Linked DNA regions of Drosophila melanogaster. The protein of the gene in region 3 interacts with the protein of the main gene of each other region in a pairwise test. Each region holds a gene or a part of one and is shown on either strand. Other genes may lie near its edges. The genes, in order: Rbp9, rho-4, LysD and CG4586.

Region 1 (8,051 bases), on a different chromosome or scaffold from region 3:
CGAAAAAGTTATATTTTAAAAATAAACAATCGGTTGGATGGCGCGACGGTGTGAGGAGACGCAGGAGCGTAGAATTGCGCCGCTGCGTAGCCGGCGGGATTATATTTTCGAAAATATTTCTGAGGCTACAACGATCTGGCCGATCTGATCGCAGCTGATGCGAGAGATGCTGACGTTATGTGTTTGAGGTTAAGTGTAGCTTGTTACCAGCGACTCAGGGAAATGCAAAAATATTGGAATATATGTTCGGATTACATAAAGTGAGAAGAGATTTCCGACATTACCTTTGATTTCTGTACGGGGAAAATCAAATGAAACTGGTTGCTAATCAGTAGATTCCTACGCGATTACGAAACAATTTTCTGGCGATGTTTGGTTTTATATTTTTAATAATAACCGAACGAGAAAGCGCTCCACAAAACATAAGGCGAGACAAACGGAAGAGTTGCACTCATTCAAATAGAAATAACCGAAGCAAATAATATCTGGAATATTATTGATCAATTTGTGTTGATGGTGTGTGCCGTTTGAAAAATGAAAAACCAAGCCAAACCGAAACGTGAAACTAATTCGTAATAACAATAATAATAAGGAAATAAAACCGAACGGAAAGTAGAAAAGAACGCGTTCCTGCAACTCAACAGAACAGAAATAAACTGATTTGCCGAGCGGCGTGGAAATTATTTTTATGCCCCACCGACGAGGGCAATCGTACTGCTGCCTCATGTCCAAGAATCGGGAGAGCAGAGCCCCAAGAGCTACAAGAGAGCGCCGCTTCTTGGCCAGAAACAGAATTCGTCATTGTCGAGCGCTCTTCGCCCGCTCGGGGAAGAGAAAGCCACCCGATGGGAATGGATCAAACTTACACGGCTATATGTTTTCCTACAGCACGAGCACATATATCCGCAAGGTGGATTCCTCAGATGCTCGACGGCGGAGGTAATTTATAATTGGATTTTGCGCAAACATACACACTTACGTGCACAGTATTTCTATAATTGCGTTATGGGAACTTCTTTTAAATCGAAATTCGACAGAGTATCTGCTTGACTCCAAAGTTACGAATGCATTTCTGGTTCCAAAGACAGCTGCGCATAATCGGGGAAATCTGTTTTGCAAAGCAGTTGCTCAAATAAGCCGCCTTCCGGTCATGGTAAGTGCGTTTGTCCTATCTACTATTTAATAATTAACCGTAAACTAATGTGTACATTAATATGTTAATTAAAAAACTGTACCATATATTAGACCTCATAGACTGCATCAATATAGAATCAGTTTTTTTACACTCTTTAAGAATATCTGACACTCCTTTAAATTTCTTAAACTTTTTGGTAGCTCCTGAAGTCCTTTTCTGTTTTCAGTCAACCGAAGGAAGCTTCCTCTTTCCTCCTCTTTCGATTCACGCCCCCAAAATAAGGGGGCGCAACCATTAATTTTCATTCATAAATAGTTGGAAATTGTTTCCGGCTAATTGATGGATTTGATGGCACATACCTATGCAGACACACACACACACACGCACTCACACTTACGAATACTGGAAGAATGGGGAAGAAGTGTTCAAAGGGCAGGAACAAAACAAAAAAGTGACACACCTTGGCAAAGGCAAAGGCAGCGGATGAAAGGAGAGACAGAGAGAGAGAGCGAGCGAAGGAGTTCTGGACAAGTAACGGGTCAGCAAAGTAGAGGAACTTATAAGGACGGCGGCTGAGGCCGTATGCATTTGATTTGGGTGCGGCAAAAATAAACAGGATATATGGGCGGAGAGATAGAGCGGGAGAGACAGTGAGAGCGCAGGCTGCAGCGAAAGCGCAGCAGTCAGCTGAGCGCGCCACAAGATATGCAATGGCTATTGAGCGCCACAGAGAGAGAATGGGAGCCAGAGAGCGAGCTTAACTGCAAGCTGGCGTCGTCGTCGACGGCAACTGCGCTGCCTAAGCAGGGCCGTCTCGAAGGGGTCCCTCCGAGATCAGGGGCTCCAATAATCTCTCAGAAATCCTACTACGGAAATTAAAGAATTTCTTTTAAAATAAATAAATCCGATAATTGCACTAGAAAATTTCAAGTCTTGTAACAAGTTCTCGAACTTCTACCATTTGAAAATCTACATCTAATCAAGGGAACTTTGTGCCACATTTGTACGAACTAGCTTTAAGGAAACTTTTATATGGAAAACAGGTCAATAAATCATTATTTTTGGGGATCGACTCCCTCTGAAGAAACCGCTCCTGTGCGGCGTTTTTTAGGTTAAATGGCGGCTGCAGGCAGCGAAATGAAAACTGCGATGCCGGCGCTGCACGAAACGCAGCTGCATGGACTTCTGTGTGCTTGTGTGTGTGTGTAGGCGGCAAATATATATCAGAGTGTAGAGAAATTGAGATTTCGCCGACTGCAAGCCGCCCCATTGAGCTCCGTTTTACTATTCGCACACATACGAATGCAGGCGAAAAATCGACTTTGGGTGTGGGCACTTTTGCAAATAAAATGGTGTAACTGTAACTGTAACTACATATCCGTAGCATTCTTCTCTGTTCGCTTACATTTATTCGCCAGCGCCGCAAAGCATACAACACCGATTTTCCCAACTCGACTCGAAAGAAAATGGTTCTGGAACTGGGACTGGAAAATGTTCTTCGTTGCAAATGATGTAGTTTCAATTTGAAAACTGAATTGAGCACGCACACACTAAGGGTTTTCGAACTGATTTCGATACTGATTCGGATTCCACACTACGTGCAATTGGACACACGTACATGTATATGTGTATGTGGGCGTAGTTGCGTGAGTATGCAAGATGTGTGTATTTTGATACCGATATACAACAATTCAGAAACGACGACAATACGACGAGAATCAAAAAACACAACTTGCTGCCGGAGAGTGCAAGAACTAAATGATTAAAGTGTTCGATTGCCGCCAGGATAACTGCAGCCAGGACCCGTGACAGCGCTGCCGCGCCGCAGTCCGCGGCCCCAGCGGCAGAGCTCCTCCTCTCCTCCAATTGGCGTACAGTTGAGCACGGCCCTGCAGAGGGCGGGAGGGGGGCGGTGGCGAATGCACAGCATAACTGCGTAGTTTTGCTCTCGCATGCACAGTGGGACAAATTCAAACATTGAGCGCGAACTTTAACCCTTCTACTTTCTTGTGTTGCAAATATAGATAATAATATTAGACTGACCTGACATATGCTAAATATGTATTGTTATATCCAAAATGTTGTTCTATTTTATTTGAAATAATGGATTTCGGTCCCAACTAAACTCAAAAGACAACCTATGCAACAATTTGTAAATGTATAGAAATAAGTAAATGCACCTGACACGTTTCAGGATAAGCTTAAATGCCATTGCACATCAGTGAGATGCAGAAGTGCTGTTTTATTTTCAATATACAGCTTGGGCACAGTTGCACCATTGTACCATGCGAGAAGTAACGGTCGCGAAGAAGAAGGCAAATAATAAAAAGCTGCAGCCGCAAGTTGCGCAGCCTGCAACAGCTCCGGCAACATAACGGTACTCGTTCGCTCGCTCTCTCTTTCTCCTGGCTCGGCACTTAACCGATGTACCCTACATTTGGCTTCGCAAAACATAAACAAGGAAATGCAGCCGTGAACACGAAACGAATTGCGGTAGGTTCTCCGTTCGGCAAAGAGCGAGCTCCAAAAGAGGCGAAGAGAGCCGGGGCTCGTAAGCCGGCCGCATTGCTGTTGTTGGAGCTGAGAGAGCCAGCACGGCACCCAAACAAACACTTAAGCAACAACAACAACGGCTGCTGACTGAAGGGAAGGTGCCAGAGGGGCTTTAAACCCAAGAGCGCAAGCTAGAAAGAGCATCAGAGAGAGAGAGAGCAAGGCAGGAGCGTAGGACGAGCTCAACTTGACATCATCATCATTTGTGTCAAAAGACCATTGAACTTTGCGAGCGGATGGAACAGAACAGCTCCACCCCCATCCCGCTGCCTACAAGTATGCAACAATACCTCGCTCTCCTTATTTATATGCGGTTTGTTTTGTTGCTGCTTGCACACCATCACAATAACAGCAACCCACATGCATGCACTCACTTTGCATAGGTGTTGGGGCCCAATGCATCTCAAAATGTTGCGCTTTTAACCCTTACCTAACTGATCAGACATGTAAGGCCCTTTCATGAAAATGTCCTGTGTTTGGGAAATCGGGAAAATCCCCACGATGTAGTTATAAATGACATACTATAGATTTGTGTACAATAAGTGGCTGTGTTAAATCTTCTTTAGCGAATAGGTTTTTATGTAATTCATTCTTGTTGCCTTACCTTACTTGTGATGGATAATGGTCGTGTTCCATTGATGTTCAATAATATAACGCCCATTGCAGGATTCCTGAATAGGGTTCAGATATGGGTTCCTGGCACTACGGCCTTGAGCTGAAGATGAATGTTCTTGCCTCTGCGGATGTGCATATAAAATTCGGTTAATTTAATTATTTAAATGAATAATTGATTTTCAGCTTACTGGTGCTTCCCACTGCGACTGATTCTGACGTGAGCCGCCAGAGTTCCAGCTTTGGTTGTCATAAAAGCCCCTAGATTGGTTGGGATAAAGCCAAGATAGCGGTGGTTGTGGTAGATCCCCTTTATTGGGCTTCCTGTTGTTGTTCCACGCTAAGGAAGGCTGCTTGATCTTGTTGCCGTGCTTCTCCTCGATGTTCGGGGACACATTCTCGCATTTAACTTGAACCTTGTACCACGAGGCGTCTGTATGCTTACGTTTGATGGTCATATCCTCCTCGCTGGTGGAGTCATACACGTGGCCCTTGATGGGTCTCTTTCTCTGACAATTGTTGACTTTCTCTGGCTCTGGTCCTCCTGTTAATACCCCTGGAATTTGCGGATGTGCCTTACGTCGTTGGCGCTGATATTGCCTTCTCTTGTTGCGAGTGTACCTGGGGATCTCACCCACAAAATCGCTTTGATTTTGCATTCCTTATGATGAAGTTGTAAACGATGAATTCGAAGAATCGACACCACGCTGTCGAAAGCACAGCAAGTAACACGTTGAGTTGCTAACACTGACAGACTACTTTGGCGACTTACCAGCACTGATCGATTAATCATGCAAAAAGTTTTTCTCGTATTGATCGAAACTTCCTTTCGTCATGAGCATTATCAAGATAAGAAATCGTTTTAATTGCATTCGGCTTCAAGTGTTCCCCTAAGGAACAGGAGTTAAGAATTTCCAGCTTTTGTTTGAAACAGATGGACATGAATTTATAACCTTGCCTGGTCACACTGAATTTTTAAAGCATCTCCTTCCGTTATTACAACCATCCATAGTGTTAAAAAAAAGCAAGACACAAAAGGCAGTTATGTAAATGTTACAATTTTTGATGTTTTATTCGTTCGATTTATCAACTACTGTTACGGTAATTGCATATTAAATTGGTTGTTGTTCTGTTGTTGCTTAAACTTTAATAAGTGTACTTGGTTTTAGCTGCGGCTGAATTTAATTATATTTGTACAAAATATATATTTACTTTTAGCTTTGTCAATGAACAACATGTTTTGCATTCATTTTGGTTTTCTACTCGCTTTCCACGTTCCAAAGTCCAGCTTAAAACTTAATTCTGTTGGTTTTGCTGTTCGATCTGTCGGTTCGGTTTTGTTTTTGTTTTTGTTTGGTTTTCTTTTGTTTCGTTTCACTACAATAACGCTTAACAAAATAGAATTATTAACTATTACTAGGCGCGTTTCGTTTGTTTTTGTTGTTGTTGTGGTTGTTGTTGTTGTTCTTGTCGGTTGCTTATTGCTGCACGTTAATCTTGTCACTTCGAAAAAATTTAACTATGATTTCTACGTTGTTTAGTTTAATTCATCGTGTATATATATAAAAATATATATATATTATATATCTTTATATATACCAATATATAGTTATTTATAGTTAGGCATGTAATTATGCTTACTTTAATTATATGCATGTTTGTGTCCGTGTCTTCCCGCCTACGTAATTGTATTATTTACATCGTTTTAATAATTAACAATACATATGTATGCATGTGTACCAATTTATAATAATTACACTTATGTAGTTGCACTGCACAATAAAGTTGCGCAAATTCTCCATCGGCATTCGGCACTCGTCATTTTAGTGATAACTTAAAATTTGTCTACAATTTAAATGTTTGTTTTCGGTTTCATTTGTCGAATGCGAGCGAATGCCTTGTTTCCCCAGAACCATTACTAATATTAATTTAATATTCTTTCTTACTTTGTTTTGCTTTCCGTTTTGTTTTTCGTTACATTTTTGCTTTGATTTTCGTAGTTTCGATTTCGTACATGCCAAAATAAAAGTCAACAAGAAAATGCTGGCTGCTCAACTCGGTCAATATATGAATGTATTCCAGAATCCTACCATCCTACCATCGTACCATCCTATCCCAATCCCCACTCATTTTCAAATTCTGCTGATTGAAGTTGGCTTAAAGTAGTTTACAGCGCTCACTTTTTGGCATTTAAAAATATATTTCTTGTATACTGGCGGCTATATGTACAGCTTATATAACTATTTCGAGGGCAAGTCTATTTCGATTGATTTTTAACTCGTTTAAGTCTACTAATGCACTATTAGTTGTTGCGTCTGTGTGAGAGTTTTGAGGCACCCATTATGAATTTATGAATTATGTTGGGAATAGACTGTGGATGAGGTGGTTTTATGGATGGGTTGAAAGAAATAAAACCAAAAGAGAAATACAATTGCGTGTATATATTTGAAATATATATTAATATAAATATATATTGTTTTCATTCATGTATTTTGTTCTAAAAACGTGTTGTGATTGCTTTTTAAAAATTAATTTAAAATTAATAAAATAGTTGCGTTAAACATAATTCATATAGAAATATTATAAAGAATTTATAACTATAACTTTTCTTTATATATGCCATAATATGTATAATTATATTTGCTAACATTTTTCTTTACCAAGGCTGCAAAGTAAAATTAACTAAAACTTAAACAATTTAAAAAGCCGTTCATCTTCCTTACTGTACGCATACGAAAACAAAATTCAACTAAAATGTTTATGTTTTTGGGTAACAGGAAAAGGGGGTAGGGTGGGCGGGGGGGGGGGGGGGTGGGCTGGTTGGGTTTTCGTTTTTGAGCTTACAGACTAGACGTAGAGCTAATATAACTTTTAATGTGTGTTTTTGTTTTTCTTTGTGGTAATATCAATTAAAACTAGGCATAAATATAAAGCTTAACATGCTTAAACAATCGAAAATTGAGCATAAGGAAATAAGTAAATGGTGTGCATATACAATTACATACATATATAAATTATAAAGTATTAACAAATCAAATTTTTGTGTTGTTTTTGTTGTGGTTATAATCGTTCTGTTGGAAGGTTGTTGGTTTCGATTTCATTTCATTCGTTACTCCTCCTCCTCATCTTGACTAACTAAATTAGTAGCTTGTAGTAGATAATAGTTGCTAATTTGGCCTGACTTTCATTTAGACACGTTTGGTGGTGCTTCCGTCTCCGCCTTCGCCTCCGCCTCCGCCAACGCTTCCGTTGCGTTTGCGGTTGATATTGCCGCTGTCGCTACTGCGACTGATGCGTCGGATGCGACACGGCATCCCTGAGCGTCTTGAGACCCGCCTGCACGTACCGGAACACCTCGTGCATGGTGCTATGCAGCGTCAGCGGGCCGTTCTCGTGATCCAGTTCTCGGATGAAATCTAATGGATTCAGACATTGATCATTAATATATATCATTAGGCGGACGCCTAAACAACTCACCTATATGATTGCCTGTGCGCACCAATCGATCGGCTTGATCCCACAACTCGTGAGCGCTATTTAGATAGCTCAGAAACTCATTCTGCTTGCACAGCATATTGTGTATATCTGGAGGCACTATTCTGCCTGGCGGCGTATTCGAACCGGAGCCCTGAAAACAGAGAAAAGCCGCAATGAATAAACGAAATCCGCACATGAGTAGCTGCCAACTGAGAGACTCACCTGCGAGCCCACCGAGTTCGATGGTGATATGGAGGACGGCGTGTTGCCGTTG
Region 2 (11,070 bases), on a different chromosome or scaffold from region 3:
AACAGCACCATGGTTACCTTCCTCAAACGGCCACAGTTGAAAAACAAGTAAGAACGTTTAACGCACTAGTTATTCCTAGGTGCCATAAGTTAGCTCATATATAAGCCCTCCCAGTAGCAGAGAATGCCAAGACTGAGTCTTCTCGAGAAGCATCACCTCCGAACACCACATTTAAACACACTCTCAACAATATCTTTGAACGACATTCAGTACATTACTTTGTCCCAAGCTGTGAACGATGCAATCAAGCGACGCTGCTTACAAATTGACAGCTTGTAATGAACAGAAAAGAAAAACATGTAAACATAATAAATAAATGGGTTAATTGCTGGATCATACTAAATCGACTTAAACCACTGTTTTGGGAAGTGAACTATAAATTTCACTATAAAAATATAGTACTTATGTAAGATTGCGTGTAAGTAGTTCTGCCTGGTCTTGCTGGTCCTACGAAGGCAAGATCAAAGTTGTACTCATTACATTTGAACATGAATGACACAATTAAAAAAATAAAAATCATACGCAAAACACCCATCTTCTTCGTACAAAGACATTGTTTTTATTACATTTAAATATATAAGATCTTAATAATAAATCTCCAAAAATATACAGTACACTTTGTTTAAAGATATTTCTCGTTTTTCTTGAAAAAAAAAAAATGTCAACGAAATGTGTAATACAAATGCAGCTCTGAGTTTTGTTCTCCGTCGACATTTCGTTGCGCCGCGTCGCGTCATGTGGATCGAGAATACATATAGTAAAATAATTTTTGCTTTTGAGTCGAATAAATGATCCGTATTTGAACCGAAATGAATAAAAACTTCGAATGAATTCGCTTTGCGTTTTTATTGATTGAATATCAGCTTAAGACTGAAACAAATGGTGTGAGAAAATCTTAAATGTACTTGGTTAGTGGGTTGTTTACTTGATCTGCGCGAGAGCGCTTCTTGCTTATGCTTTTGTGCATACATATGAAAAAGAATTCTTATGTGCTACGTGGCTATGTATGTGCCTGCCTAGTGTCTGGGTTTTGGTTACGGCTTAAGTGGATGCGCAATATCGAGTAACAAGGAATCGATACGGCGGACCACCGCGGTCGGTCTTTTGTATAAGAGAATTATGAGGAAGGCATAATTACGTTACTATATATGTATGTATGTATATAAATATATAAAAATACGTACGACATGCTTGCACCACTTTCGGATTGGGAATGAAGCTGACATGGCAAGTTGTAAAAAAATAAATTATTTTTGCAGCTGGCATAGGCACATGGTCAGAAGAAATCCTATATATAGTACTGTGCGTACTGCAACCTCGGCTCAATATCGAAGTGCACTTTGGACATGGTTAAGGGTTAGGGCTAGGGCTAGAGCTAGTGATGGGGCTAGTTGTACTCCTGTTTTGGGAAGTAGTCGGGAACAAACACGTGTATGATGATGCCAGTGGTCATGAGGGCAAAGTAAACGATGACGGCGACCCACCAGAGAATGCGCTCCCATCGCCGCACCTCCAAATTGCGCAGCACACCGATCCCCACCAGCAAACCGGCGACGGCACCGGACAAATGCGCCACATAGCCAATCTGATCGTGCTGGTCGGTCAAGTGGCGGTACACCGAGGTACCCAAGTCGGTGAAGCAGAAGACCAGAAAGGCCAGCAGCTGGACAATGGCGTACTCCATTTCCGAGTAGTTCTGTTTGGCGACCATAAGGTAATTATGGAATAATATCAAATAGTATAACAAAGACTTACCATAATTATCGTGGCAATGTGGGCTGTGATCAGTGCGTATACTCCACCCGATGCGCCCGCTAGAAAGATGCGAGGACTGGTTAGCGAGGTGCCCATGGAACCGGCTAACACGCCAGCCAGGTAGACCAGACCCACGCGCCACCAGTGATGCACCAGCTCCAGGGCGATGCCCAGAAAGATCTGGATAATCAGGTTCATCATCAGATGCATGATGCCCACGTGAACGAACATGTAGCTAACAAAGCGCCATCCCTCATAGCGCTTGTACGGATTGTAGATGAACAGGGTGGCCGCTGGTCCACTTGTGCTCTCGCCTATGCGATCCTGGTAGTTGGGATCGTCCCTGAACATAGCAGATTACTAGTGTTATTATCATATACAACCAATTGTACCATCACTACTCACTGGAAATGTATGACGTCCACGAGGAACATGATTATCTCGATAATCGAGAAGAGCACCATGGTGAGCGGCGGCGGGCAGATGGACATTTGCTTCTCGTAGGCACCGTCGGGCTCATCGCCCTCTAAGGGCTTCGGTGGCGGCACAACGTAGCGACAGTAGCGGGTCAGCATGTTGCGCACCATCCACTTGTGGCGCAGGGACATCGCATAGAATTCCTCGAAGTCCAGGTGGCCGTCGTTATCCTGATCGCTGCGCTTCAGGATCTGGTCGGCGATGTAGGCGGGAATGTCCCGGCAATAGCCATCCGAGATCAGTTCCTTCAGCTCGTGCGTGTTGATCAGCCCATCTCTGTCAGAGTCGTGCTGTGTGAGAGGCATATACATATGGTTGGTTAGTCATCATGATTAAGCTCACACATAGAATCTGGGTAAGTCAACATTTAAACACAGTAGGCCATATACTAAAGCGTCATGGGGGTTCGAAAACATTAGGGATTCGAACACTCAGTACCTAGCTGAAATTCCGAGTGGTCGGGCAGGCCCGCACCGAATCCAAAAAATCTTGAAATACAACATCTTGGAAACACCGATTACAATTGGGTACATATCAGCGCATTCATCCTACCTTTTAAAACTAGGCTGTAATAAAAATAAACTACTGAATACATTTCCCTAGAAGGAAGTAAAGAAACTACCATTTGCTTGGTGTCATCGGTTAATGACATAATTATTTAGTATAAACCATACATATATTATATATATTTGTATCTTCGCCTCAAGATTCAACCGAGAACGATGTCGCAACTGATGGAGATGACCCGCCACGTGACCTCTTGGCTTGGCTGGACACCGACGCCCACATGCGACGTCGCGGAGGAGGAGGAGCCGCTGCAGGAATCGTCCGGCATTGTGACCGTACTGGTTCTCTACCTGGGCATGGCCGGCATCTTTGCGGCCCTGAGTCTCTGCACCACGACCAGCGACGACCAGGTGCGGGCCCGGGCCAAGCGGGAACTGATGGCCATGGAGCGCCGCCAGTTGCAGCGTCTGGAGCGGCAGGGCAGGGCAACGGGGTTAACTCTGCTGCCAAACTGGACGACCGCCATGCCATCGCTTATTCGCGAAGTGGCTGCTCCTAGGCCTTCAGTCATTCAACTGGAAGAGCAGCGCTTGCGGATGCGTCTGCTCCAGCTAACGGATCAGAAGGAGCAGGAGGAGCACGATTCCCAGGATTGGCACGATGCTGTGGATGCGCCAGAGGAGGAGCAGGCCACCAGTTGCCTCGCCCCCAAGAGCCAAAATTCCACTTTCTTTGACCTTCCCTTAGACTCCGAATGAATCTCATTCACCCGAGGAACTATTCTAAATCATAGCGTAACACACTCAAACCTGCAGCATGAGTTCACAAATAAACAAGTACCCACATATTATTATGTTTGTTGAGTGATTTTCCTCCTTTTTGATTGCATCACCATCAGCACTTGCAACACAGCCGCGAACGCTGTCGGACCAAAAAGTGGCCATAAATGGGCAGGAATAAATGCCACAGATCGAGACGAGAAACTAGAAATCCAAAACGGGGCTAATCGAAAACAAATCGAAACAAAGTCACATGAAGTTGCACAAAGGCATCCAAAGTTATTGTGAACTAAACGCAACTGATGGTTTTTGCAAAACGTCAATAATCCCCATTGGTAAATACAAAAGGATTTTGCTAAAAAAAAAACATTTGTCACCTATTCCTTTCAGAAGTTCGAAATTCTCAATTGCCATTTCGCCAATAGAAAGTCCCTATATGGATGTTACTGTCTTATCGCTTTGTATTCTCGGTTTTCGATCATAAAAAACATTTGTCATAGGTAAGCTATGCGCACTGACCTTTTAAGTATGGTTAAGGTATTTAGTAAAGTAAATAACTAGGAACTGGGATAACAAAGAAAACCCAGCGAAAAGTCAACGCTCGCACTTAAAAGTTAGATTCACGCAAAAAAAAAGAGGAAAGACATTGGCATATACTATAGACAATTAGATAGGTGCCCATGTATGTACATGCACATAAATATGTATCCTCCTTTCCAGTCGTAAACTAATATTTTACACCTTTAGGTGTTCTTAAAATAAAACAGAACAGGGGGAAAAAACAAAACCAAAAAGTTGGTTATTATCAAAACCAGGCGATAAGCTGCCAGCGGTAACGGAGTCTCGCGGGGATTGGGACTTAGTCATAGTCGTCAAGTGTGTTCGGAACACACGAAAGCCACTTGGTCAGTTTGTAAAAAATATGGTTTTCGGAAAAAGTTAATTGTAAAACCATTGGAACACCTGAAGTTCCAAAACTTTCCTATATTAGCCAACAGACAACTTAAGATTTACTCTTTTGCACAGCTCAATGAATAAAAATATCAACGAAAATGGTCATCTATCTGCTATTTTCCCATATCAGAAAGACTGTTATCTGTGACATATCAAACATGATATTTCAAAAATATCAAAATGATACAGTCCCCTCCGGGTTCAAGTTGAACTTTCCAACGAATAATGTTGGTTGAGATTGGTGATTTTTTTTTTTTTGACAAAATATGTTCTATAGCTTGCTATTATTTTGGTTGTTATATCATGGCTAGATTATTGAATCAACGCTCGGAAAACCCAAGCAGAGTATTTTGGCCACTTGAATGTTTGTAGCGAGGGAATTCAGATAAGATTTCCAGCCAAAAGAGAATAGGAATGTGTCTGGAATGCCGATTTCCAGCGGCATCGAATGTGTTTGGATTGGATTGGCAGCTCATCTTGTATGCTAATCGTATGGTTAGAATACCTATATACATACATATATACGTATCTGTCCAAATCAACCAGGAGAGAGTGCTAACTAAACTGGAATCGAAGCGGCCAAAACTGATGGATTCGTAGATAGAATCCCCTTGTTGCCGGGGTACATTGAACGCGATATGAACGCTACACACTCTATATGGCTATAAACAAATGGTGAATCAAGAGGACGTTGCACGTTGAGGCAATCGCACTGGTAGAATTAAAAAAGACGAAATCCACAAATTGTTAAATTGATAATGGTAACACTCGGGCAAACAGGTGGGCGGTGGGTGTCAGTTGGGGGTTAAGTGACTAACGCCACCAAGAATAAAGCAAGAGCAACAACAACAACAAAGGCAGAACTCAAAGCGAACAAACAATAATTTATAACCGGTTTTTCTTCTTCTTTTTTTGCTGGTCTTTTTCCCCCAACCCTCTGTCACGATAAGAAAACTCAGTCCCCCAACAGTAGGCAACCACCCTCCCCCCCATTTTTTTTTGCAGCACACACGATTTTTCTACTTTAAGAAAACAAACTGCAGCGAAAAAAAGCTTATAAAATGTGATACGGAATTCTGCGAAAGTGCAAAATTGACTGACAGACAAGCGGTGATGGGTTAAATACACCGAAAAGTGTAATTATGCTTGTATGATATAAGTACATATAGCAGTTGATTATTTAGGCACTATAATCGAATTCTTAACCCATTAATGTTAAACGGGAATCAAATCTCACGTATTTATTAATCACCACAAGATACAAGGTTTTTTTTTAATAATGTATACCTTAAGTTTGTTCCACTGGCATGTTTGCAAACAAAAGCATCTGATCGTGTCGGTTTTCGCCCGCCGGCCCATTGAAGGGTTAAAGGTGGGGTTTTCTTGGGAGAGTGCGAAGAGTGAAGAGCGCCGCCATAGCGGATCGATGCTCAGATGATTCATCGAACTCAACTTTCACCGAGGGTGAGAAGAAGACGGCAACAGGGCCGACCACACAAGCACAAGCAACTTCATTCACACGCACGTATGAGTGTGTGTGTGTGAGTGCCGCGAAGTGCCGGCTGTGTGTTTTAATTACAGTCGTTCTTCTGTTTTTCGCGAATTTCCCATGCATTAATATGGTGCAATTTCACAAGATCTCAGCATTAACCTTCTGTTGCCTACCACCAGCCAGTTTAAATGGGATAATTAGTCGTAGCTGGTTCTAACTAATGAATTAACCACTATGTGCTCTCCAAAATGACTTGAAAACTAATAGAAATTTATTATTCCCTTACCTAAATCCTACATTTCCTGTATTCTATCCGATAATAATGTGGCATAACTATTAAATCAACGTTAAATCATCATAGATTTACTTTAAAGATATAGTGCTAAGTTGTAACACCGTGTGAACAGTAATACCTTTATAGGTATAGTTACCATGGCTACTACTTGGTTAGCTGGCTCTACAAACCAGAAAAGATCTAATACTTAGGAGGAGCTGCCACTTGTGCTGGGGAAGGGAATTGCGAGTATTATAAGTCCTACATACCTTGTCAAATATCTCGTGCATTTTGCGCCGATCCTCTGGCTCCTGGCTGTTCGTCTGATTGAGCGGTATTTCCTCCATATCGATGGTGTCCTGTCGCAGCGTTTGCGGACGCGAGGGGGGCGATCGTCGCTCGGCCGGAATCGTGGGATAGAGCCCATTCTCGACGTCCCGCTGCTGCTGCAATTGCAGTTGTTGGGCGGGCGTTTGGCTCTGCTGGCGATTCACTGTTTTCACGGGCATTTTTGCGGCCACTTCTTGTTTCGCTTTTCGATGGAATGCGACTGTTTGAATATCGAATTCGGAGAGCGGAAGTGCCGTTACCGTTAGCCAAAAAGTGAAATTACGGTGCTCATTGGCCGCGGTTTGATTTGATTTGCGATAAGATTAAGAGCGGGCCATAAAGCGCGTAGCACCTAAAAACAGCGGAGCGAACTAAAAAAAAAAATAACAACACCAACCGTCTTCTCGCACCAAAGAAACCAAACTGCGCGACTGTACAGTGTGACCAGCTGCCGGAGCAGCACAAGTGGCTCTCTACCCAGAATTTGTGCATAAAAATAATCAAATCCCGCATGCAACCCAATCTGGCAACGCTGAAAGGGAGTTAAATTTGAAAAAAAAAGTTAATGAATATTATTTATTTGGTCACTTTTAATAAGTCATTTATTTGAAAGTTTTTCTTTTTTGACTAGTTTTTTTTGTTTAATACTTTTATAACAATCAATTTGTGCTTTAATTTAAAATGCCAACTTGTTTTGTTAATTTAATATATTATATAATATATCCTAGGTAAGCCTATTTAAAAAATAAATCACATATATAACTGTTTCTTTAAGGATATCCGGCTCCTTTTTTTTTACTCCTACTATAGTTGTAAAATCAAAGTATATGCCACATAAATAACAATCACTATACTATATTCGAATTAAAATGCTATTTAATTAGTAATTGTATCAAGTGTCAAGACAGTTAATTTGAGAAAATCGTTTCCATTTATTTCCCGACCAAATGGGCAGGGATTTGACTTCAATTAGATTCTTGAAGCAACCCAGGCGGGATCTGAAAAATGTGGATTAAGGATTAAGGGTTATTGGGTAAAACGCAAATGAACGTATGTCAACTGACCTGTGCACGGCCAAAATAGAGGCGGTCTTTGAACCGATCCCTGGAATCTCCTGCAATTGCTTAACGTTTCCATTGTTAAGATGGCCCAGTAAACATTTAGTATTATTGGCCATCCAGGCCTTGGGCGCAGGTTTCACTTTTCGCGTGCGTTTCTTTTGGACTGCACTTTGAAGGCGCGTCCCGTTTTCCACAACAACGGAGGTGGCATGTTCCCGGATTCCCGCCAGCCGCGTGCTGCGCCGCAAATTCATAACCTTGGGAATGGCTCTATAGTTCTGCGAACGCATCCTACCCGCTAGACGTACGGAACGACGAAGGCATGGCTGCTGTGGCGAAGCCACTACTGTCTCCTCCATTAGCTGGATGCCGCTAAGTTCTCGCTGAGAACTGGATGCCCGCAGACTGATTTTTTTTCTTTAAAAAATATATTCTATAGCTTGATATTATTTTGGTTGTTATATCATGGCTAGATTAATGAATCAACGCTCGGGAAACCCAAACAGAGTATTTTGATGTTTGAAGCGAGGGAAATCGGATAAGATTTCCAGCCAAAAGAGAGTAGGAATGTGTATGGAATGCCGATTTCCAGCGCCTTGTGTTTGGATTGGATTGGCAGCTTATCTCGTATGCTAATCGTATGATCATACATACCTATATACATATATATATATGAATCTGCCCAAATCAACCAGAAGAGAGTGCTAACTAAACTAGAATCGAAGCGGCCGAAACTGATGGATTCGTAGATAGAATCCCCCTGTTGAGTGAGTGCGAAGAGTGAAGATCGCCGCCATAGCGGATCGATGCTCAGATGATTCATTGAACTCAACTTTCACCGAGGGTGAGAAGAAGACGGCAACAGGGCAGACCACCACAAGCACAAGCAACTTCATTCACACGCACGTATGATTGTGTAGGTGTGAGTGCCGCGAAGTGCCGGCTGAGTGTTTGTTTTTCGCCAATTTCCCATGCATTAATATGGTGCATGAATTAACCACTATGTGCTCTCCAAAATGACTTGAAAACTACTAGAAATTTATTATTCCCTTACCTAAATCCTACATTTCCTGTATTCTATCCGATAATAATGTGGCATATTCCGTCCGAAATCGTGGGATAGAGCCCATTCTCGACGTCCCGCTGCTGATGCAATTGCCGTTGCTGGGTGGGCGTTTGGCTCTGCTGGCGATTCACTGTTTTCACGGTCATTTTTACGGCCACTTCTTGTTTCGCTTTTCGATGGAATGCGACTGTTTGAATATCGAATTCGGAGAGCGGAAGTGCCGTTACCGTTAGCCAAAAAGTGAAATTACGGTGCTCATTGGCCGCGGTTTGATTTGATTTGCGATAAGATTAAGAGCGGGCCATAAAGCGCGTAGCACCTAAAAACAGCGGAGCGAACTAAAAAAAAAATAACAACACCAACCGTCTTCTCGCACCAAAGAAACCAAACTGCGCGACTGTACAGTGTGACCAGCTGCCGGAGCAGCACAAGTGGCCCTCTACCCAGAATTTGTGAATAAAAATAATCAAATCCCGCATGCAACCCAATCTGGCAACGCTGAAAGGGAGTTAAATTTGAAAAAAAAAGTTAATGAATATTATTTATTTGGTCACTTTTAATAAGTCATTTATTTGAAAGTTTTTCTTTTTTGACTAGTTTTTTTTGTTTAATACTTTTATAACAATCAATTTGTGCTTTAATTTAAAATGCCAACTTGTTTTGTTAATTTAATATATTATATAATATATCCTAGGTAAGCCTATTTAAAAAATAAATCACATATATAACTGTTTCTTTAAGGATATCCGGCTCCTTTTTTTTTACTCCTACTATAGTTGTAAAATCAAAGTATATGCCACATAAATAACAATCACTATACTATATTCGAATTAAAATGCTATTTAATTAGTAATTGTATCAAGTGTCAAGACAGTTAATTTGAGAAAATCGTTTCCATTTATTTCCCGACCAAATGGGCAGGGATTTGACTTCAATTAGATTCTTGAAGCAACCCAGGCGGGATCTGAAAAATGTGGATTAAGGATTAAGGGTTATTGGGTAAAACGCAAATGAACGTATGTCAACTGACCTGTGCAAGGCCAAAATAGAGGCGGTCTTTGAACCGATCCCTGGAATCTCCTGCAATTGCTTAACGTTTCCATTGTTAAGATGGCCCAGTAAACATTTAGTATTATTGGCCATCCAGGCCTTGGGCGCAGGTTTCACTTTTCGCGTGCGTTTCTTTTGGACTGCACTTTGAAGGCGCGTCCCGTTTTCCACAACAACGGAGGTGGCATGTTCCCGGATTCCCGCCAGCCGCGTGCTGCGCCGCAAATTCATAACCTTGGGAATGGCTCTATAGTTCTGCGAACGCATCCTACCCGCTAGACGTACGGAACGACGAAGGCATGGCTGCTGTGGCGAAGCCACTACTGTCTCCTCCATTAGCTGGATGCCGCTAAGTTCTCGCTGAGAACTGGATGCCCGCAGACTGATTTTTTTTCTTTAAAAAATATATTCTATAGCTTGATATTATTTTGGTTGTTATATCATGGCTAGATTAATGAATCAACGCTCGGGAAACCCAAACAGAGTATTTTGATGTTTGAAGCGAGGGAAATCGGATAAGATTTCCAGCCAAAAGAGAGTAGGAATGTGTATGGAATGCCGATTTCCAGCGCCTTGTGTTTGGATTGGATTGGCAGCTTATCTCGTATGCTAATCGTATGATCATACATACCTATATACATATATATATATGAATCTGCCCAAATCAACCAGAAGAGAGTGCTAACTAAACTAGAATCGAAGCGGCCGAAACTGATGGATTCGTAGATAGAATCCCCCTGTTGAGTGAGTGCGAAGAGTGAAGATCGCCGCCATAGCGGATCGATGCTCAGATGATTCATCGAACTCAACTTTCACCGAGGGTGAGAAGAAGACGGCAACAGGGCAGACCACCACAAGCACAAGCAACTTCATTCACACGCACGTATGATTGTGTAGGTGTGAGTGCCGCGAAGTGCCGGCTGAGTGTTTGTTTTTCGCCAATTTCCCATGCATTAATATGGTACATGAATTAACCACTATGTGCTCTCCAAAATGACTTGAAAACTACTAGAAATTTATTATTCCCTTACCTAAATCCTACATTTCCTGTATTCTATCCGATAATAATGTGGCATATTCCGTCCGAAATCGTGGGATAGAGCCCATTCTCGACGTCCCGCTGCTGATGCAATTGCCGTTGTTGGGTGGGCGTTTGGCTCTGCTGGCGATTCACTGTTTTCACGGTCATTTTTACGGCCACTTCTTGTTTCGCTTTTCGATGGAATGCGACTGTTTGAATATCGAATTCGGAGAGCGGAAGTGCCGTTACCGTTAGCCAAAAAGTGAAATTACGGTGCTCATTGGCCGCGGTTTGATTTGATTTG
Region 3 (5,710 bases):
TCCGATTCCTTGGTAGAGCCACTCTGAATTGGCGAAATGAGGCTCATTTCTAATGGGGCATGGGGCATTTCCACATTCTTGTAACTAATCACAGTTTGTGGTTGTGCTCTGAGAATCGAAGATTCCCTCGGGCGCCTGACAGTCTTCATTAATTCGGAGGTGTGCAGTTGCTACCGTTGCTCGCGAGCTCAAAAGTCTTATACAGGGGGTCTTATACAACAGACGCTCTTGTTCGCGCTCTCGCTCTCTGCACGATCTCTCCTTCGGCTAGCACTTCGGGTTCAAGCTCGTCTTGGGTTCAGGCCAAGTTTCAACTTCGGATTAGTTGGTGCGTGACATTTGTTCGAGGCGGACGTGTAGATCGCAAGTGCGTACTTGAATCTCGGCTTTGGTTGGCAATTAGGCGAGCGATGGCTTAGCTAGATGTTCCAGAGGTCTAGCCAAGTTCAATCGACAGATCGACGAGCAGCCACAGTGGGTCCTGCGATCCCAAGCGGTAGTGAACTTCCATTCCCATCTGCAATAGCTCCTGAGCGTTGAGTGTCACTGACGATTACGCGATATGAATTTTCCTATTGTGTATTCTCGGAAGAAACGAGTTTGATTTGATAGAAAAGTGCGCTTTTGGCCCCGGTCCCCAACCCAACCAACTGTCTTCCCCCACCCCACGCGGCTCTTCTTGGCTAACAGCATCGCGAGTGGAGTGCATTCTGCTGCTAACGGTAAAACGAGTACTGGACCCGGCTAGAACTGGCCCCAACTGGCCTATTGCAGCATCTACCATAATAATAAGAGTGGTTCTTGCTCCGCGCTAATCTCCTCAATTTATGCCTCTGCCCGATGACGACGCAAAGTGCAATGCGGCTGGAGTGGTAGTGGATGCTAGCCATCGAATTTGAGAACGTTCTGTTGTGGCCCAATTCGGAATCGTGTCAATTCGCTGTACTCGTACCTGGATTTCGGAGCAGGAGCGGAGGAGCCCAGAGGGGATAGGCGAAATAGGTAAGCCAGTTTTCACCCAACTAAGCCAGAGGGTCAGGCTTTCGTTAGCCACTCGCTCGGAAGACCCACTTGGTCAAGATCCAGATGGGATCTGCTCTTTCTGCTCTTTCTGCCTTATGCGCATGCTAATGGGCTCCGACTTTCTTTTAACTGCTGCCCAAATCTAGATGTGTAGGTAAATCCCCGTGTGGGCAGTTCTGACATTGAACTGTGACGCCCACACCATCAACAACTGGGATAGAAACTCTCGAGCGTTCCGAGCAAAGAACCCAACGAAGAGGTGGCATAAAAGTCGTTAAGACTGGTGCGTGTGCGTTATAAAAGTATGAAAACAAATTACGTTTAACTGTACTCATGGAAATTGAAGTGAAAATTGAATTGGCAGCGGCACGAGACTTCAAAGTCTCCGGAGCAGCCCCAATCCGAGTAACAATGCCACTTTGTCCAGACGCGAGAAGACAAAGAAGAGCCCACAAAAGAAACTAGATTGTAAATAAATAAATAAATAACAGTCATACTCGGGGCCCAAACTGAAAAATGAAAAGGCGACTGTGTGCCGAACTACAGAAAAATCTGTTCCGGTCTGATTTAACAATTGTTAAACAGCTTATGCATTGGCCACGGTCTGGAGTCCAAAGGGAGGAGTACGAGTAGGTGGCTAATGGCTGCACGCAACCCAGCGAGTGGCCAACTTACTTTCAGCCATACCCGAAAAAGAAATTTCTTTCTTCACGCGATTTTGCGGTGGCAAAGCCATTCTTTTTGCCACCTCCTTATGGACTTAGACTTCCTTCTTTCAAAACTGCATCACAGCCACATTAGTCAGTCCATCACCAGATGTTGGACACCTTGACGGGCACTGACAAATGAAGCAATTGCTTGCTGGCACTGGGATTGGTATTGGGTAACCGCACTGGGGCAATAATGGCATGGAGGGGCCCTGAGCCTCGGGCCTTTGTTAGACCCAGACTAATTGAAGCCAATGGGCCACCGAGCCGAGAGGCTGAAGGGCCATAATTGAGATCTGAGATCAAAAGGGCAATTGGCCAAACAAACAGTCCTCCGTATCACCAAAGCTGCTTCCACCAATTGGCATCCATTCATAGCAGGTGGACTTGAAACTTGTAATACGTCAAAACAACTGCGAGGGGGTTCACCGACGAATTTCCGTAAGACTTTATTCATATTATCGAATACTTCACTCGAATTATCAATGGAATTATCAATATGGTCTGATTACCAAGAGATTCTTTGCGACACGTCCAGATTACCCACACCCATCAATACTGTGAAAATACTCCACAGATAACACTACGGCTAGATAATTTTCCGGCTATAAAAGCGCCCTGTCCACAGGAATCCCACATCAGTTTCAATTCGAATCATGAAGGCTTTCATCGTTCTGGTTGCCCTGGCCTGTGCCGCCCCAGCTTTCGGTCGCACCATGGACCGTTGCTCCCTGGCCCGCGAGATGTCCAACCTGGGCGTTCCCCGCGACCAGCTGAACAAGTGAGCCTGCATTGCCGAGCACGAGTCCTCCTACCGCACCGGAGTGGTTGGTCCTGAGAACTACAACGGCTCCAACGACTACGGAATCTTCCAGATCAACGACTACTACTGGTGCGCAATCGTTTTAATCGGGGTCAAAATCAGTTTAGAAGCAGTCATCGATGGACGGCAACCATCCGCTGCAGTAGTGCCAGGTGGACCAGGCGGACCATCCCTGCTGGCTGAGGACCTTCTGGGCACAACGGACGGAGTGGGTGATGTCGTCGGTCAGGAGAGCGTTGCAGCTCAATCCGCATTCGTTGTAGGAGAAGCGACCGCTGGGAGGAGCGCACCAGTAGTAGTCGTTGATCTGGAAGATTCCGTAGTCGTTGGAGCCGTTGTAGTTCTCGGGACCAACCACTCCGGTGCGGTAGGAGGACTCGTGCTCGGCAATACAGGCCCAACGAGCCAATTGGTCACGAGGAACGCCCAGGTTGGACATCTCGCGGGCCAGGGAGCAACGGTCCATGGTGCGACCGAAAGCTGGGGCGGCACAGGCCAGGGCAACCAGAACGATGAAAGCCTTCATGATTCGAATTGAAACTAATGACGGGAGGGAGCGTAGGCCGTGCTTTTATAGGGCGGTATTATCTTAACTGGTAGATCTTCACAATGTTATTATCTCAAGTGCGCCGCGAAGTCTTTAGCTACTTATGTATATTATCGCAAGTGCACACGAGACAGTAAATAACTGGCTATTGCAAATGGCCAGACGCAAGCTCATCAATCTACATCGCTTATCAGCACCTAGCAAATGGTCTCAAGCCGCTCCCTGAAGATTCGCAAGCATAGACGTAGGTAAAAAGTAGATTAGCCCCATCCCAGCCAGCAAGACCCTTGGGTTTTTAGAGCAAGTGGTATTAATTTTCTGACTTAAACGTTGGCTATCCGAGCCATTAACCTTGTTAGCATCTCCGCTAGCTTTTGGAGTGGGCAATTACGAGTCGTTGGTGGGCAGAAGCTCCACTTTGGTGCACCTGAGTGAGCTGTAACTGGACAGAGAGTGCGAGCTAAAAAGAACTCTATTTGGTGCGGGCTGGTTCATCTCTTGTAACGGGCGTGCGTTCAATCGCCAAGCCACTGGCTCTTCAAAGACCCCAAGGCTACCACACATCATCAACAGTCACAACAACCTGGCTGCACATTGCTTTCTCGGTGGATGAAGCGGATGGAGTGGATGGAGTTGGAGTTGAGACTCAAGTACCGACTCTGACTAACGACCCGACCACAAGTATGCAAACTGCGGGCTGTTACATTAACCCCATTCGTCTCCGCGGGGAGGGGCTCTTAGCGGTACTCCTGGGGGTTACCAGTGGGCCTAAAACCAGGCGCGTCTGGTGGGGGCAGGTTGGGAGCCCAGATTTCCACTGATTTGTGCAATGCCAAGAAAGTTGTTAACCTTTCGCGTGTGGCTAACAGCAAAGACAAATGACAAAAGGCTTCTGTGGAGGCATTCGAAAGACGCCAGTTGCGAGATTTTTGTGGAGGAAAGGGAGGCCCCAAGACAAAGTCGTTTCAGGTGGTTGGAGCTCTCCAGCTTGCCAGCGTGACCTTCTTAGAGTCCCATGAATTATAGATGAATTCATAAATGAATGCTGGTTGGTGAGCGAGTGGGGCGCTCATCGGCGAGATGAGTTGTAGATTCTTTTGTCGGCGGAGAATGCTGCTTATCACTTTTACTTTTTGCTGATTTATTGAATCGCCGCTGTATAACTAATAGCTTTTCTATCCCCGAAGTGTGTCAGCTAACAGTTCTGACCAAGAAGAATTTTCTGACGACCAGACCAGACCTCATTGCATATGCATGAGTTCTCTTTGGAACTTTGTGCCTGTGGAACTGACAATCGACCCAGGCCAATTAAATCTCATTTCCATAAATTTTGTCGCTAATTGTCAGCCGAACTTTGAGAACTTTTGGGAACTGTTAGGATAATGGCCACGAATCTTTAAAGATGGTACAAGAAGCCGCCATAGCTGTTCTTGCCCTCTTAAAACGGCTTTCCATCCCATTTAGTAAGTAATCACAGTCAGTCGAACTAAAAATGGCCAACGTTAAAGAAATCTGTAAACAAACTTCGCTGATAAGGTCGCGTAACGTATCTGATTTGGAACCATTCGCTACACCTAAGTCCTTATCGCTGAATTTTCATGGCTAATGAAGGGGCGATTGACAGCCGCAATATGGTGATCACCTTATCACGGTTGAGTACTTATACGTTCTTCTTAATAAGGTGATGGTTCAGGGTATATAAGGGCCCATTGCGAGGACCTCTCCATCAGTTTACTGTGGTATTCAAATCAAAATGAAGGCCTTCATCGTTCTGGTTGCCCTGGCTATGGCCGCTCCTGCTCTTGGTCGCACCTTGGACCGTTGCTCCCTGGCCCGCGAGATGTCCAACCTGGGCGTTCCTCGTGACCAATTGGCTCGTTGGGCCTGTATTGCCGAGCACGAGTCCTCCTACCGCACCGGAGTGGTGGGTCCTGAGAACTACAACGGCTCCAACGACTACGGAATCTTCCAGATCAACAACTACTACTGGTGCGCTCCTCCCAGCGGTCGCTTCTCCTACAACGAGTGCGGATTGAGCTGCAACGCCCTCTTGACCGACGACATCACCCACTCCGTTCGTTGCGCCCAGAAGGTCCTTAGCCAGCAGGGATGGTCCGCCTGGTCCACCTGGCACTACTGCAGCGGATGGTTGCCGTCCATCGATGGCTGCTTCTAAACCGATTTCGACCCTGAATAAAAATTTAGCTCAAAAAAATATTCATCCTTAGACTTTCTATATCTTTGCTTTTTCAAAATTCAAAAATTATTTCAATTTCACCGTGTGTTCCTTTACATCAAAAGATACACAGAAATGAACTTAACTATTGATGAATGTGTGACATATTTTGCATGAGCCGATCACTTTCTAAGTTTGTGAATAGAATTTTATTGGAATTCGCTAATCAACTTGAAAGCGTCTCTTCGGCAAAAAAAAGTCATTAATATATGCGACAAAAATAAACATTTTTAAAACAAACAAAGATAAAAGCATCGGTTGTCCATAAAATTAGCTAGTTGCTGTTCGCAACTCTTTCCCAAAAGAAAGTAAACTCGAAGCGCCGACTGTCAGCGGGTCAAAGTCAAAAATAACCTCACCTAAGCATATTCATT
Region 4 (8,015 bases), on a different chromosome or scaffold from region 3:
TTCATCTGGTTCTGGTTCTGGATCCTGCTCGTCCTGCTCATCGGACTGATAGTGTTCCGGTTAGTTTCGAAAGTTTGCAAATTTCTAAAAGCGAATATATAGTTTTTTATTCACTTTTTTTTATTTATTTGTTGCAGTGGCTGCATTATCTTTATGCCGAAATTCCGACCCCGCCTCCTGAACGCCAGCAATCGCATGATTCCGATGGAGATCTGTCGCTCGCTGTCCCGCAAACTGGACATCGGTGACTGGTGGCTAATCTATATGCTGGGTCGCAATCTTGATCCGGTCATCTACAAGGACGTGATGAGCGAGTTTGCCAAGCAGGTGGAGCCCTCCAAGCACGACCGTGCCAAGTAGACCAGATGTACGAGATGATGCCCCCCGATATGCCGTTCGATATATCAATCACCCTGCCTATTAGTCCCCATCATTTTGTCCGAAACCCGAAATTCCGAATTCTGTTTTGGATTTTTTATTTTTATTTAGCACAAATCATACTACTTAGTTGAAACTCGAGACCAGGACAGGGCCACGCCCCCAACGCCCCGTTGGTAGTTCTGTGATTAAGCCCTGACCTTTTAACCCCTTCCAAAAACGAACCCAATTCCCATCCCCTGACCCAAGCCAAAAGCTATCATACACATGGATTAATCAATGATCACAACTCGAATCGCTTGGCAGAAAAGACAATTCTTTTATTTTAATTTTTTTTTTATTTTTGATTTTCCATCAATGATAACAAGACAAACAAACAAAACAAAAAAAAAAAAAATGATGAGATTTTCCTTGTGTTTTTTTCTGCAGACAAAATCTTTTTTTTCCTAATTATAAAATCTAATTTAATACCTAGTTCTTATGTATAAATAGGAAACATCGCTAAAAAAAAGATAGTAGACCCCCAGAAAAATATGAAGAGATACTATTTTTGCATAATATGGAGTAATGTTTGAACGCTTCGGAACCAACCGAAAATATAATAACAAATAAATATTGCTTTGAGTCTTTCATAACATAATATTGCTTGCATTACACATACAGTTTTTTTGGGGATACAAATGAGAATTAAATGCGCTATGTTAAGTTTATTGTGTAGTTTTAGGCGAGAATTGCTAAGGTTTTATATAAAACTAAAATATAATATGAAATAAAAAACTTTTTACAACTGGCAAAAATATGACATGTTTATGTTCGATTTTACAATAAACTTTTTGTATTTTGTTTTGGGCATAAAAAGCTTACTTATCGTAACTACCTAAGCCAAAGAGTATGAAATTGTTTTCAGTGTTTGAAATAGTTGTCTCGGCTAAATCTTTAGGGTTGCGTCATCACTAGATATCTATCTGAGTTCTAATCCATTTTGTCATCGAATCAATGGCATTTTTAGGCACATTTTCTGCACATCTGGTATATTTCTCAGGAGAGAAATAAATAAATAAAAATTAAATTGGCTAGTTAAAGTGTTTTGTTTGCTGTAAAACGCAAGCACAACGAGGATAGCGGAGCACACATACCGCGCAGGAAGAGTGTGAGATCTGGATTTGTCATCAGTCGACCCGCCCACCTCTTAATTAGGCGAAAAACCTTGAATTCCCTGGAGAGACCCCTGCTACAATGGGCAATAAACAGATAAAACAACAACTGGAGACGGCCCAGAAGACGGGAATCCTGAAGATATCCTTGCAGCGGCTGCAAGAATTCCCACTGCAGCTAAGGGCCTACCCGAATGTCCTGAAAACCCTGGATCTCTCCGAGAATCGCTTCGAACGTGTGCCCGACGAACTGGGCAAGCTGACGCTACTCAAGCACCTCAATCTAAGCGGAAATCGACTGGTGGAACTCAACGAGGTGGTGGGCGAACTGGCCAAGCTGGAGGTGCTGTTGCTGATGGACAATATGCTGACAAGGCTGCCCAAAACCCTGGCCAATTGCACGCACCTGAAGACCGTGAATCTGAGCAACAATCAGCTGAAGGAGTTCCCCTCCATGCTGTGCGGTCTGAAGCAGCTGGATGTCCTGGACCTGTCCAGGAACAAGATCACCGATGTGCCCGCCGATGTGGGCGGACTGTTTGTGACCGAACTGAACCTTAACCAGAACCAAATATCCTCGCTGGCGGAGGAAGTAGCCGATTGTCCCAAGCTGAAGACACTGCGGCTCGAGGAGAACTGCCTTCAGGCAGCGGCCTTTACACCCAAGATCCTCAAGGACTCGAAAATCTGCAACCTGGCCGTCGACGGCAATCTGTTCAACTCGAAACAGTTCACCGATCTCGATGGCTACGATGTCTACATGGAGCGGTATACGGCGGTCAGGAAGAAGATGTTCTAGACTCGATTCAGATCAAATCCCTTTTTTTTTTGTGTGTACCCCAGCCTTTATTTATCCGAGTAAACTAATTTAATAGCTTAATTCAATATGTGTAATGTGTAAAACGATACGAATAAATCGGAAAAAGACAACTTTAACAAGGGCGAGCAAGTAAGTTAGTTTGAAAATGGTAAGTGCAAAATAACAAACAATTGCGAAATCCTATTTCCTTTATTAAAAAAAAATGTTATGATTCAACTTCAATACAAAAATTAGTGAATAACATATACGTATGTAGAAAACAAAAGACCAGCCCCACATCACAGCTTTCCCCGCATCATGGGCAACAAGTGGTTGTGGAAGGACGAGTTGACCGGCTCCTGGTTGATCGGATTTCGGCGTGCCTCCTCCATGAGACGCTCGTACACCCGGCCATCGTGACACCCCAGCGTGGAGCCCAGGACACGATCGTGAAAATCGAATCCATCCACCAGAGCCACCGCATTGGGTCGCAGCTTGGCCAGCAGCTCCTCAAAGCGACGCTCCACGAAGCGCAGTTGGGTGCCAGTGATGCCGTTGTTCCAACGCAGCACGCATCCCGACTGTCGCAGGAATGTATCGATGACGAAAAGCTCAACCAGTTGGCCCAAGATGAGTGAGACATTCGGGCTAAGATCGCCCTTCTTTCGAAGTGCTTCCACTTGCTCCAGTGCATTGCGTGTGAAGAATGCGTGAGCATGGGCTATGGCAGCCGAGGTGAGCTGCCTTCCAGCCAGATTGCTGGCCATCTCGGGACTCACCTTGCCGGATTGGTGCATCTTCTGGGTCTGCCAAGCATCACGCACCTGCTCCATGGCTGAAATCTCCAGCGCTCGCACACAATTCGCAACCAGATTCTTGCCCCAAATCAAACGGGCTGTATCCCTCAAATAGGAGACACTGGAGGGCAGCACCTTGCGTTTTAAGCTATCCGCATACTGCCGGACGAGGAAACGAGCTGTCTGGAGCAGGAGTACTGTGTACTCTCCCTCGTAGGTGTATGTGGCGGCGGTCAGACCATAGATGCTATCGAAATTCGCCGAGGAAAGGAATCCGTGGCCACCGCAACTCTTGCGCAGCAGATCAACTCCCTCGCTGGCCTCGTCGGTGGCCACCGCCTTGAGGCAGCAGCTCAGGGCGTGCAGCTCCGGCAGGGAGTTGCGTCCTTTCGTGCTTTCATCCTCCAGTTGGCGGAGTACGTCCTCGTAGAAGCGCCACAGCCAATCGGATACCAGGCGATAGGACACTCCTCGAGCAATTTGCGGTAGAATCTTTGCCTGCTGTGTGATGTGATCCAAAACAGAGACCTCCGGCTGATCGCTGTTAATCCGGCTCTGGCGACGCACCACGGAATACCTAAAGATAATGATAATTATTATCTAAAGAACCCTGGGTGAGCTGAATGTGTTTTATGGGCTTAATAACAGCTATGATAAACATAATCCCCAGAAACTATATAATCACCTGGTGGCAATGGTGGCAGCCTGGAGCAGTCCAAAGAGCACATCCTTCACGGTAATTACCCGCACATAGACCATTGTGCCGTAGAGCAGCAGCGGAGGTCTACCCTGGACGAAGGTGCCGTCGGTCAGGACTTGGGCGTTCTTCATCAGCATTTGATTGCGCGGTATCCGCACGTCGCGGAGTCCCAGAAAGCCGTTGTTAACGCCATTGCCACCCAGGCGAGGTCCTATATCGCCCACATCGACTCCAGTCAACGGTTCGTGTGTCCTCTCGTCCCTGATCCTCACCACAAATGATTGCAAGCCATAATGCTTGCCCTTCACATATAGCTGGGCCAGCACAATGGCCACATTGGCGGTATTACCAAGTCCGCCGGGCCACCACTTGTATGAACTTTGCGTTGGGGTGTTCAGGATGAATTCCTGCGTGATGGGATCGTAGTCGGCTCGGGTTTCCAGGCCCCGGACAAAGGTGCCGTGACCCAGCTCCGTTTGCGCATAGGTGCCCAGGACGCCGTCCATGTGCCAGGATCGATTGAGCCACTGGGCCTGCTGCTCCTCGGTTCCCTGGCTCAGCAAGGTGGTCATGAACATGGAGAAATGCACCCGAAGGGGGAAGCTCTGCTGGAAGAGGCCCGTGCCCAGGGATCCGGAGAGTAGCAGCCGAAAGTCCCTCAGCATATTCACACTAAGCTGAAGTTGTGGCTGCTTCTCCCGCTGCCATTGGCGCAGTTTGGCCAGGAAGCGTGTGGATCGGGCCACGGTCTGTTCGTAGCGCTCCTTGTATGACAGACAGCTCGGATGCACTGGCTCCGCGAAGTCGGGATCCTCATAGAAACGCCTTTCCAGGGCGCGGCGCTCCTCCAGCTGCCCAGAGCCACCCGCCCACCAGCGGGCAAAGTCCTCGCTGTCCAAGGTGGCCGCCGCCCGCTCTCTCTGCAGATCCGCATTCACAGACATGATCGCTCTATCTCTCCTTCCCGATCTCTCTTTTCCTAGAGTTTTACTTTTCTACGGGATTTCCCAACTTCTCTGCTCGAACGACTCGATTGCACTGAGAAGTTGGTGGCTGGAAGAAACAGTTCTGCAGCTCGAAACATGGCAGCCAGGTCACCAAAGGCGGGGATAGCAGGGGAATATGGTTGGTTATCAGTGATCCGAAATTAAAGATGAGTTGCCAATTAATATACCGGGATTCTTTATACATTTACCACATTATACTCATAAAGGATGCAGTGTATAAGCTATTTATGGATAACTTATACAGAAGAGGCGATCTGGAACCCCTTTGGATGGTCCATCCTGCCTACGCCTTTGGAGCCCCACCACTGCCTCTCTTTCGCGCTCTGCCCGCTGGTGCTCCAACCGCCGTTGTTGCTGCATTGGAGTCACTGAACTGAGAACTGAGCCACTCTCAAATTGCTTGAGCGCCTTAGGGTGGACCATATTCCGTATTTGTCGAAAGTTTCTCAAACTGCGTCTTTCTTACAAGATGCACTTATCATGTTTTAGATTTCGTATCCTAGGTTGTATATTTGGACGGAATTTGTTTCTTACTATTAACTCAAACGCTGATTTGTGTGTTGGTCCACCCTAGCCAAAAATGGCACAAAGTGCGTAAACATCTGATGAGCGGCATTATCTCCTAGTTTTTTAGTTCAAGTTTTTTTTACCGTAGATAAGAAAATCGTAAATATTTCTTGTTGTTTTTGTTTTGCAAAAACCCACAAAGCTCAACAAACAATTATTTCTTTTTCGTACAATAACATTTTTATTTCGTGGATTTCTTGTTATCAACATAACGTTTCTCAATTGGATGACGTTTAGAAAATCTAAGATAACCCTATGGGCCATTGTCAAATTGTTTATAAATAGAAACTAAAAGACATGGAAAGAGCGATTTTATTTATATAAATAAATAAATATATTATTATACATACGAGCTTCTGCAACCTGGATTTTAGGACAAATTCTCAATTTAAATTTCCCGCTCTTCAAGAATGCAACATAAAATATAAAAAAACACTGGCCATTTTAATAACTATAAAGAGTAATTATTATAATATTATTGATGTGCCAAAAATGCAACGTGAATTACAATTTATTTTACAAGAAAACATAAGTTTTGTAATAAAAAAAAGCTTAGGAGTACCCCTATTAAAAAGTTTTCAGCATAAAAGCTCGTCGAATGTGTGACCAATTGTCGGAGTAATTTAGTGGCGCCCGACGAATGGCCACACTGCCGGCCAGCTGATCGCCCGCGTGCAGATTTCTCGACTTTATTTTCCTTATTTGGCTGTTGTTGTTTTGGGCCGCCGGTACCGCTTAGCTTTCTGTCTTCCTCTCTCTCTGTCTTTCTCTCTCGCTCCCACCAACGGCACCGCCATGGGTAAGAACACGAAGCGCAACAAGAAGACAAAACAGCAGCAACAGCAGCCACAACAAAACGGAGTAACTGCATCCGCATCCGGCACAGCAGTCGAGGATTTTGAGGACCAGCAGGCGGCCAGTTCGTTGCCCAGTTTAAACGGCAAAAAGAGGAGCCAACTAAACAAGCTCGTCGAGGAACTGCTTGACTTGGTGGAAAAGCAACCGGCGAATCCCAACGAGGAATGGAAGCAGTACGGGCAGCTACAGGAGCTGCTCAAACAAATCATGATCCTGGAGGAGCCACTCAGCCAAGCAGTGTGTCCGCAGATCAGCGATTCCCCCGACGATCAGACCCGTCTGGCCAAAGTGGAGGCGTTCAGTGCGTGGGCCAAAGATGGCGGAGTTCACAGTGAGGGACTGGAGATAGCCATCTTTCCCGGCTACCAACTGGGTCTGCGGGCCACCCGACCGTTGGCCAAGGATGAGCTGGTGCTCAGCGTGCCCCGGAAGCTCATCTTATCCGAGGAAAACAACTCCGATTGCCGCCTATTTGGCAAAATGACGCAGGCCACCCACTTGAACCTGGCCTATGATCTGGTCATCGAGAAGATCCGTGGCGAGTTCAGCGAGTGGCGGCCCTACATTGATGTTCTGCCTGCCAAATACAACACCGTGCTATACTTTACCACCAAGCAGATGGAGCTCCTCCGGGGCACCGCTGCAGCCGCTCTGGCAATGCGTCAGTGTCGCGTCATCGCCAAGCAGTACGCCTTCCTCTACAAGTACGCCCACACCATGACTGAGCCGAGCACCGGGAACAGGAGCCATCCGGGCGAAAGAGGCCTCTTTTTCACGCAGCACGGACTCTGCTACAAGCTATACAGGTGAGTTTCGATTGAGATTTGGGATTGCAATAAAGGTGCTAAAGGTGCCTTAAAAAAATATCGCTACTTTTAAAGTTTGTTCTACTAAGTTTAAGAAGAAATATGATTCTGTGCTAAAAAGATGGCTTAAGGCCAAGTTTTCTGCTCTGAAGATCTTTTCAGTTGGCCTAGAAATAGAAATATTGTATACCTTTCCGGAATTCCATTTTTAAATCCTGCCCTCGTGTTGATCTTTCCCTAAGTGTGTTTTTCGGTTTAGTTTGGGCTTGTTTTTGCTGCAGAGAGGCCTCTGAATCTGCCAGTTGTCCCACTGGCCATAAATTACATGTTCACTTACAGCTGGTGCTGTTTGTTTTAAAGCGAGAGTAGATGCATATGGCCAGATTGCCCGACCATTGTTGACCTTCCCGTCTGGCATTGTGATCGCATTGTTTTGCCGAAGATCTACGATCTATTTACGGATCCGCTTCCACTTGCGACGGCTGGGTCATGGTGCACTGGGATGGGTCTGGTTGTGGTTGTGGTTCTGGTTCTCCACTCGCTTCTGTATTTATAGTGCCGCGATTTCGACACCAATCTTCGGTTGTGGTCGAAAACCCCAGCGAGTCATGCGGTTAGTCAAGTGCTTTCGAAATGCTTGAAATCTTTGCCACAATTTGTTCTACATTTTATTTCTCAAAAAAATCAAATTGAAACTTATTTACATACATATTTGAGCGTGCTTAAATATATAATTATATTTATATATATAAATATATATATATATATATATATACTGTCGCCAGATGTTCTACTGCCTAGTGAGAGGGGCGGGGGTGGTAACGAAAATCAAATCAAAAATAAAGTGCCTGCACTACGAAATAAATACAGGTGTTTCATCTATTTTCACTTCTTGGTTTTTGCAGTACATTTTGCGCATTTAAAATATTAGTGTTGTTGTTGTTGTTGC

The links.
Region 1: the proteins of LysD (region 3) and Rbp9 interact in a two-hybrid assay, tested with the Drosophila melanogaster proteins (one large-scale study listed by BioGRID).
Region 2: the proteins of LysD (region 3) and rho-4 interact in a two-hybrid assay, tested with the Drosophila melanogaster proteins (one large-scale study listed by BioGRID).
Region 4: the proteins of LysD (region 3) and CG4586 interact in a two-hybrid assay, tested with the Drosophila melanogaster proteins (one large-scale study listed by BioGRID).

The regions. Positions count from the first base shown.
Region 1 is NT_033779.5:2,951,754-2,959,804, reverse strand, and holds the start of Rbp9 (RNA-binding protein 9), read right to left. Parts: upstream 5,044-8,051; 5' UTR 4,492-5,043; intron 4,426-4,491; 5' UTR 4,298-4,425; intron 2,895-4,297; exon of another isoform or gene 2,541-2,894; intron 659-2,540; exon of another isoform or gene 285-658; intron 1-284. Other genes in the region: lilli (lilliputian), read right to left, coding at 7,580-7,716, 7,778-7,928, 8,000-8,051.
Region 2 is NC_004354.4:11,595,764-11,606,833, reverse strand, and holds rho-4 (rhomboid-4), read right to left. Parts: upstream 6,997-11,070; 5' UTR 6,748-6,996; coding exon 6,508-6,747; intron 3,592-6,507; exon of another isoform or gene 3,498-3,591; coding exon of another isoform or gene 2,955-3,497; exon of another isoform or gene 2,940-2,954; intron 2,760-2,939; exon of another isoform or gene 2,640-2,759; intron 2,523-2,639; coding exon 2,161-2,522; intron 2,099-2,160; coding exon 1,756-2,098; intron 1,697-1,755; coding exon 1,388-1,696; 3' UTR 546-1,387; downstream 1-545. Other genes in the region: CG2247 (uncharacterized protein), read left to right, coding at 1-51; CG2533 (uncharacterized protein), read left to right, coding at 2,955-3,497.
Region 3 is NT_037436.4:1,208,099-1,213,808, forward strand, and holds LysD (lysozyme D), read right to left. Parts: upstream 3,099-5,710; 5' UTR 3,080-3,098; coding exon 2,657-3,079; 3' UTR 2,619-2,656; downstream 1-2,618. Other genes in the region: LysE (lysozyme E), read left to right, coding at 4,854-5,276. UniProt on the Drosophila melanogaster protein: Unlikely to play an active role in the humoral immune defense. May have a function in the digestion of bacteria in the food.
Region 4 is NC_004354.4:6,966,775-6,974,789, reverse strand, and holds CG4586 (uncharacterized protein), read right to left. Parts: upstream 4,873-8,015; 5' UTR 4,773-4,872; coding exon 3,814-4,772; intron 3,706-3,813; coding exon 2,631-3,705; 3' UTR 2,525-2,630; downstream 1-2,524. Other genes in the region: ogre (optic ganglion reduced), read left to right, coding at 1-59, 138-360; CG3040 (uncharacterized protein), read left to right, coding at 1,615-2,331; Setd3 (SET domain containing 3), read left to right, coding at 6,198-7,066.